Linked DNA regions of Schizosaccharomyces pombe. The protein of the gene in region 1 interacts with the protein of each later gene in a biochemical or structural test. Each region holds a gene or a part of one and is shown on either strand. Other genes may lie near its edges.

The links.
Region 2: the proteins of imp2 (region 1) and fic1 form a complex in vitro, tested with the Schizosaccharomyces pombe proteins (one study listed by BioGRID).

The regions. Positions count from the first base shown.
Region 1 is NC_003423.3:3,345,970-3,350,952, reverse strand, and holds imp2 (F-BAR domain protein Imp2), read right to left. Parts: upstream 3,054-4,983; 5' UTR 2,973-3,053; coding exon 2,904-2,972; exon of another isoform or gene 2,810-2,903; coding exon 2,718-2,809; exon of another isoform or gene 2,653-2,717; coding exon 980-2,652; exon of another isoform or gene 932-979; coding exon 753-931; 3' UTR 501-752; downstream 1-500. Other genes in the region: protein Ndc80, read right to left, coding at 1-28, 78-105; protein tam11, read left to right, coding at 4,136-4,324; SPOM_SPBC11C11.01 (U2-associated protein), read right to left, coding at 4,665-4,983. UniProt on the Schizosaccharomyces pombe protein: Required for normal septation. Involved in the disassembly of the medial ring during septation.
Region 2 is NC_003423.3:1,542,992-1,546,724, forward strand, and holds fic1 (contractile ring-membrane anchor Fic1), read right to left. Parts: upstream 1,785-3,733; 5' UTR 1,776-1,784; coding exon 1,728-1,775; intron 1,675-1,727; coding exon 904-1,674; 3' UTR 501-903; downstream 1-500. Other genes in the region: multiprotein bridging factor Mbf1, read left to right, coding at 1-54. UniProt on the Schizosaccharomyces pombe protein: Involved in the ingression of the plasma membrane during cytokinesis, leading to the separation of the daughter cells.

The DNA of each region.
Region 1 (4,983 bases):
TTAGATGAAGAAGGTGCCTGTGAATACCCTAAACTTATTGTTAACTTATTAGTCAAAAGAAAAAAAAGAAAACATACGCCTCGCGTAAGAGGAAGAATCTTGCATTTATAGTAATACAAGCAGATTGTTGTCTTTTATCGTTGGAGACGTTAGTTATAACAACAAAACCACTTTGCTAAGTAACAAAAATAACAGTGAATAGCGATTTCCAATATAGAACCGCAAAAATTTATAGTGAATCGCTTTGCAACTTAAAAAAGATATCGACAACGGCAGGATTCGAACCTGCGCTCCCAAAGGGAATCCGCTGGGCTACAGAATAGCAGGCGAACGCCTTAAAACCACTCGGCCACGTTGTCACAGCTTACTAGGAAATAGTAATTAGTTATACATGAAGCTATTATAGACCTGTGTGTTAACTTAGATTGGTAAAGATTTGATGTTTTTTAAGTTATTACAGAATTTTAGAAGCAAACGAGAATTACTAGAAATATTTAGGTAGAAAATGGTGCAATGAATGACAATAATTCAATCATTTTGAACATAATGCTATATATAACAATCGGTATCATTTTAATCTGCAAAATTCATAAAGATTTATAAGATAATAATCTTATAATGTAGATAACTTAACTAAACGTGTAGCATTCTAAATATCCTATAATGTAAAACAACCAAAATTAGAAATCTAGTATTTTAGATTTAAATGAGAATGAGAAAAGATGAGAAAATGCGAAACTATAATACGAAAGCTAAACCTCGATTTCACGAACAAAATTTGACGGAAATTGCCCACGGTTATGGTCATCCTCTCCAACGACAAATCCCTCCCACCAGCCGTCTTCATAAAGCTTAAGAACTGCAATGGTATCTCCCTTCCTGAAGCTTATCTCTTCGGGTATTGCAGCATCATAATCATATAAAGCAGATACTAAATTCAAGTTAGTAATTGTAATAGCGATGGACAGATTAGACATACCATAACCAAGAATACGTTGACCATCTGTACTTGTTGGATTATCAATACTGGTGTCACCGCCGTCTGTAGGATATGCAGGTAAAGAAAGTCGGTTAGACGTGTTTCCAGTAGCTTTTGTATTTATTGTATCATCAACAAAGGAAGAGTCCCGATCAGTATAAGGCTCGTCATCGGTAGGTGCAGTACCACTTGCTGGATCAACTCGAACACCGAAATCATAATTTGGCTCTAAATTTCCTGGTGTTAAGGAACGAGGAAGTCGGCTGGCATTCTGAGAAAGGGAAGAGGAAGGACGTTTTGGTGACCTACTTTTCCTCAATGTGAATGAACTTCGAGATCCATTCTTTCTTGAATCATAAACGGGTGAAACCGCACGATTCTCCATTTGTAGTACACTACCAAATTCTTCCTGAATTTGTTGACGCCGTGATGGAGTGTTAACATTTGGGCGGGAGTCCTCGGTGAAAGAAACAGAATTAGGACTTGGTAGAGAACCAAGTTCGTTATACCTTGGTGGTAGTGTATTAGAGTTAGGGAAGGCACCAGGAGCAGCAGGCGTAGGATTCTGTTTTGGCTCTTCTTGTAAAGAAAGATGCTTCATCTGTTCATCAGCCGCTGAAGTTAAAGGAGAGTCATTTCTCGGACTTGATAATGCATCCGGAGCCGTATTACCAACGTTTGGAGTCGAAGGACGACTCGTTAATTTAAACTTACTCAAAAAGCTTTTCTTTGGAGAGCTTCTACCATTTTGGGAAGAGTTAGAAGAAACAGTGGTAAGCGATTGAATTGCACTAGGAGTATTAGGAAGGGTATTTTCGAAGGACGACTCATTACGAGCGGTGGCAGAAAGGACGTATGGACGATTCAATGGCATGTTGTCATTTTCTATTTTGGTTTGGGCCCGCTGAAAATTAGCCTGAACCAACTCTACAGAATCATCGGGAACCTCGCCCTTATAATAGTCATAAAATTTTGGAGGTTGAGGAATTCCCGTTCCTGTAGATTTTGCGTCAATAAATTCCAAAACATCCTGAGAGACACTGCACTGTTCAAGATTTTTGCGAATTCGTTCACATGCTTGATCATCATTAAAGCAACTACGAGAGATAAGTAGTGTAAATGTCCACATGACGCTTTTCAGGAAATGTCTTCTTTCTTCTTCAATGTCCTGAAGTTTGTCACAGGTTGACCGCCATTCGTTGGTCCAACGAGCGTATGAATCTCTGACAGCTGCTACAGCTGATTGATAGTCAGAAGAACTAGCAGTGATAGCATTCTGAGTCTTGTTTAATTTCGCATTGTTCTTCTCTAGCTCCTTTCCGAAAAGCATGTTTTGCTGAGAAACATAGTAATTTACTTTCTTGCACAAGTAATGGTATTTGTCTTGAGCTTTAACAAGAGCTTGATGCTTGGAGAGTTTATCCTTATGAACTTTTTCTATCCCCGAAACGATCATCTTTTTCTTGTCCTTTAAAGAGGCAGCGTACCGCGTAAACGCATTTTCGACATCATCCTGAAGCAACTGAGAAATCTGCAAATGAGACTTTGCCATATTGTCAACTTCAGCTTTCATAACTTGGACTGATTCTTTGAGGCAACCAGTTTCCAAAGAACTGAAGGTTGTTCGAGACAACTTTGCCATTCGCTTGGCATAATCTTCTTCAATGTTCGCTCTAAGGTTGAAGTTAGAATAAACGATCATAGCATGTTAAACCCTGCTTCACCTCAAATTTCTCACCTTTCATGATAAAACGACCGAAGCTCTTCATTAATGTGTTTCACATCGCTAAAACGCGAAAGTAAAGCATGATAACCCTCATCATTTGCACCCTAATAAAGAATGTTAGTTAAGGTGTTGTGTTTAACACAAAAATCGAAAGTTTTGGCAGATAATGAGCTATCCACGTTGGCTTAGACACCATACCCAAAAGTAATTTGAAAAACTTTTATCAGGCTTTGCTGAAGATGCATTAAAGCTTAATTGTTGAGACATGTAAACGGAAAAAAACACGAATTAAGAGATTTTTCAATCTCGCCTTTATGGCAGTATTCTTTATTCGTATATGGTGGTGGTGTTGATTGTAAATGAAACTAACAACGAGGTAAACAAACGGCAACGCGTTGCCAGGTGCAGCTTTTCATGTCAACAATTAACAAATTTATCAAGAAAACCGATGTAATGAAGATTTTTCAGCCTTAAACTATCAAAAAAAAGCAATAGAATATTGCAGTGGAAAGATAAAAAGCCTTCAAATGCTGAGATATATATGGTGAACAATTGATTCATTCAAAGTCCACTTTATTCATCCTTGAGACTCTATAATTGTTATCTCTGTTAAGCGCACAAGTTTTGCTCACTATTTTGTATTGATTATGTGTGAATACTGTGATTTGAGAAGCGACCCAAGGCAGTCCTGAAAAAAAATACTTACCATAAACTCCGGTAAGCGAACTTATAGACTTAGACATTATGCTAATAAAACAATGATTTAGCATGTATGTATTTGCAGACTTCACGTTCTGTATAGCTATCTCCCGTCTCAAATCGTTTTACTATGTAAAATATTAAATTTTTGAATGGAATGCAACATGCTATTAATCAAAAACTTAATATACTATGCAAGCGGTTCAGGCGTACTGAAAAGTAATATTTTTTAGATAGCTCGATTTGTACCTGCAGCATCATTCGATGTGAATAAAAAATCGTATAATAATTTGTTTACTTAGTGAAATACACTAATCGAAAAAATAAATAAACACTAAAAAAAACATAAATACAACGTTTATGTGAGTCAAATAGATTAAACATATTCATTTATCAGGTACATACAAAACGCCCTTGTAATTCTCGGTTTTTCTTCCAATTTCCATTATTTTCAATCTTATTTTTTATTTCACGAGATCGCATTTCTTAATAACCCGACTTACGTCATGGGTTGGCGGTAGGGACGCTGATATGTTTACTATATATACAGCAGCCGCCCGGCTTCGGCGGTTTATTCTTTAACAAAACAACTGGTGATAAATACTCATTCTATCACACTTAAACACTAGGTGAGATTAAAGTTATTAATTGCTTTTGTCCCTATACATTTGCGAAGTTTTGATAATACGACCAACCTTGAATTTTTTGTACATCCTCTGAAATTATAAATAATGGAACGCGAAGGTAAAGAAGACGTTCGTAAAGCCGACCACAAGATTGTTTATGGTATTGAACGTGTGCGACATGGAATTAACAACTTTTTTGATGACGTTGGAAAAGCAGTAAAGTCGGAAAGCGATACTGCCGACTCCAAGAGAAGTGCTGAGGCGAAAGCCGATGAAGCCCCTGCTAAAATGTAGTGTCTAAAATTACAAGTACTTATACTCACTTTTAAAACATGATCCTCCAACTTTTTGTGATGCTGAACTTTACGATCTTAGCCATGCATGGCGAAAACTGTTTATATATCGAATTGATAAAGCCAGTTTGCACAGCAGCAATAGCATTCTTCGTCTATAAGTTATTCAATACAATGCTTGATGAAAGAGAAAACAAAAATCGTTGTCATTAAAGTATAATAGTATTACGGGTAGTTAAAAATGGATAAATTTAACATCAGTCATACCTTGTTTATATGAAAAGCGATATTCTAAATTGTAGAAGTGTAGTTCTTTTTTATCAATTGCATTCTTCTATTTTCTAGAATAAATCCTCCGCATGCATACGCATGCGCTTTGAGACGAATGTGCCTTGAGTAAAACTGGGTTTGAACTTTGCTTTCCGTTCCTCCGTAGGCTGCGGGCTTGAACTGGAGCTTGTTTCCGTACTCATTGGTATTTGCGATATGAATTCTACGTTTAACAATTCGTTTACATCGACAGGAATACCATTATACTCTTCGTCATCTTGAAGTCCTTCAGTCTCTTCAGAAATTGCTGTCCAGCTATTCTTTGTTTCCACTTTCAAAGCAGCAGAATTTATTTGTGGTGATTGAGGGGTATTTCCCGAAAAATTTCTC
Region 2 (3,733 bases), 1.8 Mb from region 1:
AAATTACGTGGCCAAAACATTGGTGCTCCTTTGGGCGGTCCTAAAAAGAAGTAATCACAATTACTTTGTGGTTCCGTTTTCATGACAATAAAAAAGAAAATAATGTTTCATTTTCGTTTTGATGTTATCAATATTTATACATAATCCAGGCCTTCTTTAAAATATATACCTGTATATATGTTATATAGGTTTCTATGTATAGTATTTTCAATGTACTTTTTTTCCGTCCAAGTTGATGTTAGTAACTATTGTATTGTAATGACTTTTAGATTTTGACTTGAAATGTATCGTTGTTCATAGCAGGGTAAGGTAAAGCAGCTATATTTGTTTTCATCGGAAGTAATGGGTCGCAAGGCTGAAGATGTTTCTGTTGCTACATTGGTGTCTAAAAAAAACAGTTAAACAAATGACTTATATCAGAAATACAAATGAAGTTTAGTAAAAAGCTTTTAAAAATACGATCAAAGGGGTTTTTGTTCCAAAAAATTGATAATATAAAATTGATAGTTTTAATGAATAAATTCAAGAAATATATGAGTTATGTACACTTTTCAATCTCTAAATATAGGATGAATGTTAAACATTCCAATCGTATGGAATTAAGAGACCAAAAAAGGAGAGAAAGAAAAAGAGGAGATGGAAGTGTTTAAAAAAACAAAACAACCTTGGATAATAACTAGAACCGCTCATCTTTATGAGGTAAAAAAATTATTAAGACTTGAAAAGTGGTAAAGGCCTGTATGTACAAGAGAAATTCAATCAAAGTGCGTGCATGGCTTTAGGGAAATTGTATATACATAATTAAAAAAATGAAAAGATGTTAAGATTAGGAAATTTATACCATACCACCTAAATCGATGAATGCAGTGACCATTGAATATAAAAAAAAAGAGAATGTGTGGTTTAATGGAATATTTGGGAAGAAGAAGCTGTAGGAAGAATTAAATGAGGTGGGGGGACGGGAGGTAGAGAGGAATGGTTGGCATCGTAGTCTTCAACGGACAATCTAGGATTCGTGGGGTTTTGTACACCATATGAATAATCATTGACATTGTCAGACACGAAAACATCTTGCGTGTAATAATCATCAACCATATAAGGACTGGGAAAAGAAGGCAAGGGATCATCCTCATATGTGAATAAAGAAGATTCGCGAGGCACCGAAACATGCTCTTCCCTGGAAGGAGGAGTTGGAGGAAGAGGATGCGAGACAGGTACCTTTTTGCGAGGTTTGGAGGGTTTGGAGGGTTTTTTAGGTACAGGAGTTAAAGCGGCGACACTAGAATATGGAAATTGTAAAACTGGCTTAGAAGAAGCACGGTCAAAGTATAGAGGATCAGTGGGGATAAACTTGAATTGCACAGATAGCTCGCCAGCAAATTGGAACTCATTTTTTAGTTCATACCATTCACTTTGTAACTCTTCTTTCATCGCTTTCTCAAAAGACAATACAGTATCACCAATCAAGTGTGGATGCTTTCGAAATCCCTCGTGAAAAACGGTTATTTTCATAATATGATAAGATTCACTGGGAATGTTAAACTCCAGTACCGCATTCCACGATGGTTCTTGACCGCTTCTCTTATCCGTTTGCGTACGTTTTACCACCTCACCAACTCTGCAAACGCAGTAAGGGCTTTGTTTGCCCACTAGAGCCTTGTTTGGTAAATTTTTCTAAAGAAGACACGTTAGTTTTACAAAACAAATCTTCATCTTTTAAGACTTACAGCTTTCCATATTCGGACAACCAACGTTCCAAGAGGATTCTTTGACATATGGTAGATGGAGAAACGGGTTATAAACAAAAAAGCTACTTTATACAATTCGAGTGCGGATTTTAAGCAGTGCAGCGCAACTTCTGTAGGAGGGGGCTGGTTTGTCTCCGATAACGGGGGTTAGCTTTCGTTCATTCATTTAACGTAGCTTACTGCAATTTAAAATGCTTTAACGGAAATTTGTGTACGCTACGATATTGATGGCTCCAGTTAGGAAATTCGTGAAGAAAGATGCCGTGTTAAAAAAAATTAAAAATTAACAAAAAAAAAAAAAAAAAAAGAGAGACGAAAGTTATCGCAAACAAAAAGAACTTTATTAATATAACTAATTGCATTAATGATTGACTCAGTACACACCACACAAATATATTCACTTAATTTTAATTGTTTTAAAATGAGTGTAAAATATCTATTGGTATAACCAATTCCATCACAATTGCTAATTGAATGGAATGATTTGCATAAAATGTTTCTAACTTAATTTTTTTATTCTTTTATGTTTCACGAATACAAATTTATTTTGTTTTTAAAAAACTTCATTTTCTTTGCTTATCTTTTGGGTAGTTTTCGGATCCGTAATCCCAACAAAATGCCAACCCGTATTGACTAATAAGTTCCCGAAAATGTAAGCAAAAGATTTCATTGTAAAACAAATGAATTAGCTATTAAAACTGTTATTTAAATGTTGTAAGGGTTGGTATGTTATATATACAATCTAAGTCTATGTAAAGACTTTTTGAAAGATCCTACTGTACAGAATTCTCCATAATTGAATTCGTGACAAGTACTCATAATATTTGAAACTTGTATATTATTTCTGCGTATAACCTATCTTTATTTTTATTTTAATTTTATTTTTTACTTTATTTTATTTTATTTTATTTTATTTTTTCGTAGGTCTTCTGGAACTGCTGGATCTATTCATACATTGCTAATTACTCAGCGTACGTACACATCTTACAAACACGCAGAAGTCCAACCTAAAACACTTACCTACATACAACATAATATCAGAAATACACGCAACGATTTAGCTTCATCAAAGATATATTATTTATTCATTCATCGGTTAATATAAAATAAGCTTGAGTTAAGAGTGAAATAAGATTCATGGCACTATACACAAACTCACCATTTTTACTACATATTGCTAACATCATATTTGCTTAAAAAGCACGCACTCCATGATATACCAATAACATCCTACTTTCCGTCCATCCTTTCCCATTCCCCAAACTATCGATACGTTTCTTAACGATACGATAACACAAAATACAAAACTACACAGCAGTACTTTAAGTATCGTCTTGCTCGGTTTATTCCAGACCCATTTCCTTGTTACCCTTCTTCAGAGCCCCGCACGTGATTGGTTAAGTTCAATCATGCAAAGTGATGCAATGACGTCATCTGTTTGAAACAGGTGGAAGTGTGGCACTAGGAATTTACAACTTACCCTTTACTTACAACATAAGAAGAAAGAAACTACTTAGGAAATTGCTAAAAAGTTTACTTTGAGCACTTTTTGAACGATTGAATTGACGAAAACCATTTTTCTGTTTGTAAATTTCAGTTTGGACAGTTGACCGAGTCTTTTCATCATTTATACAGTAGTCATCGCTTAGTTGGATCTGAATTACGAATTCTCTGGTTCATGACGACGACCTGCTACTAGTACGTTTGGTTGATTAAGTCAAATAGGTATGTGTTTATACATGCAATTGTGAAGTTTGATTATGTAAAAGGCTGTAAAATTGGAAGAGCGTGATAAAAACGTGACGGGTTGTGTTGAAAACCGAATTTTTATGAAAATTTGAAAATTTGCTCCTATCGTCATTGACCCTACTAAACATGACGAGTATGACGCTTTCTTATCAATAACACTGATCGTTATGGGGTTGTTAGTTTACAGGAAACGTAAAATGTGTTTGGAATTCCTTCGTTTTTTGAGGGTTTGGAAA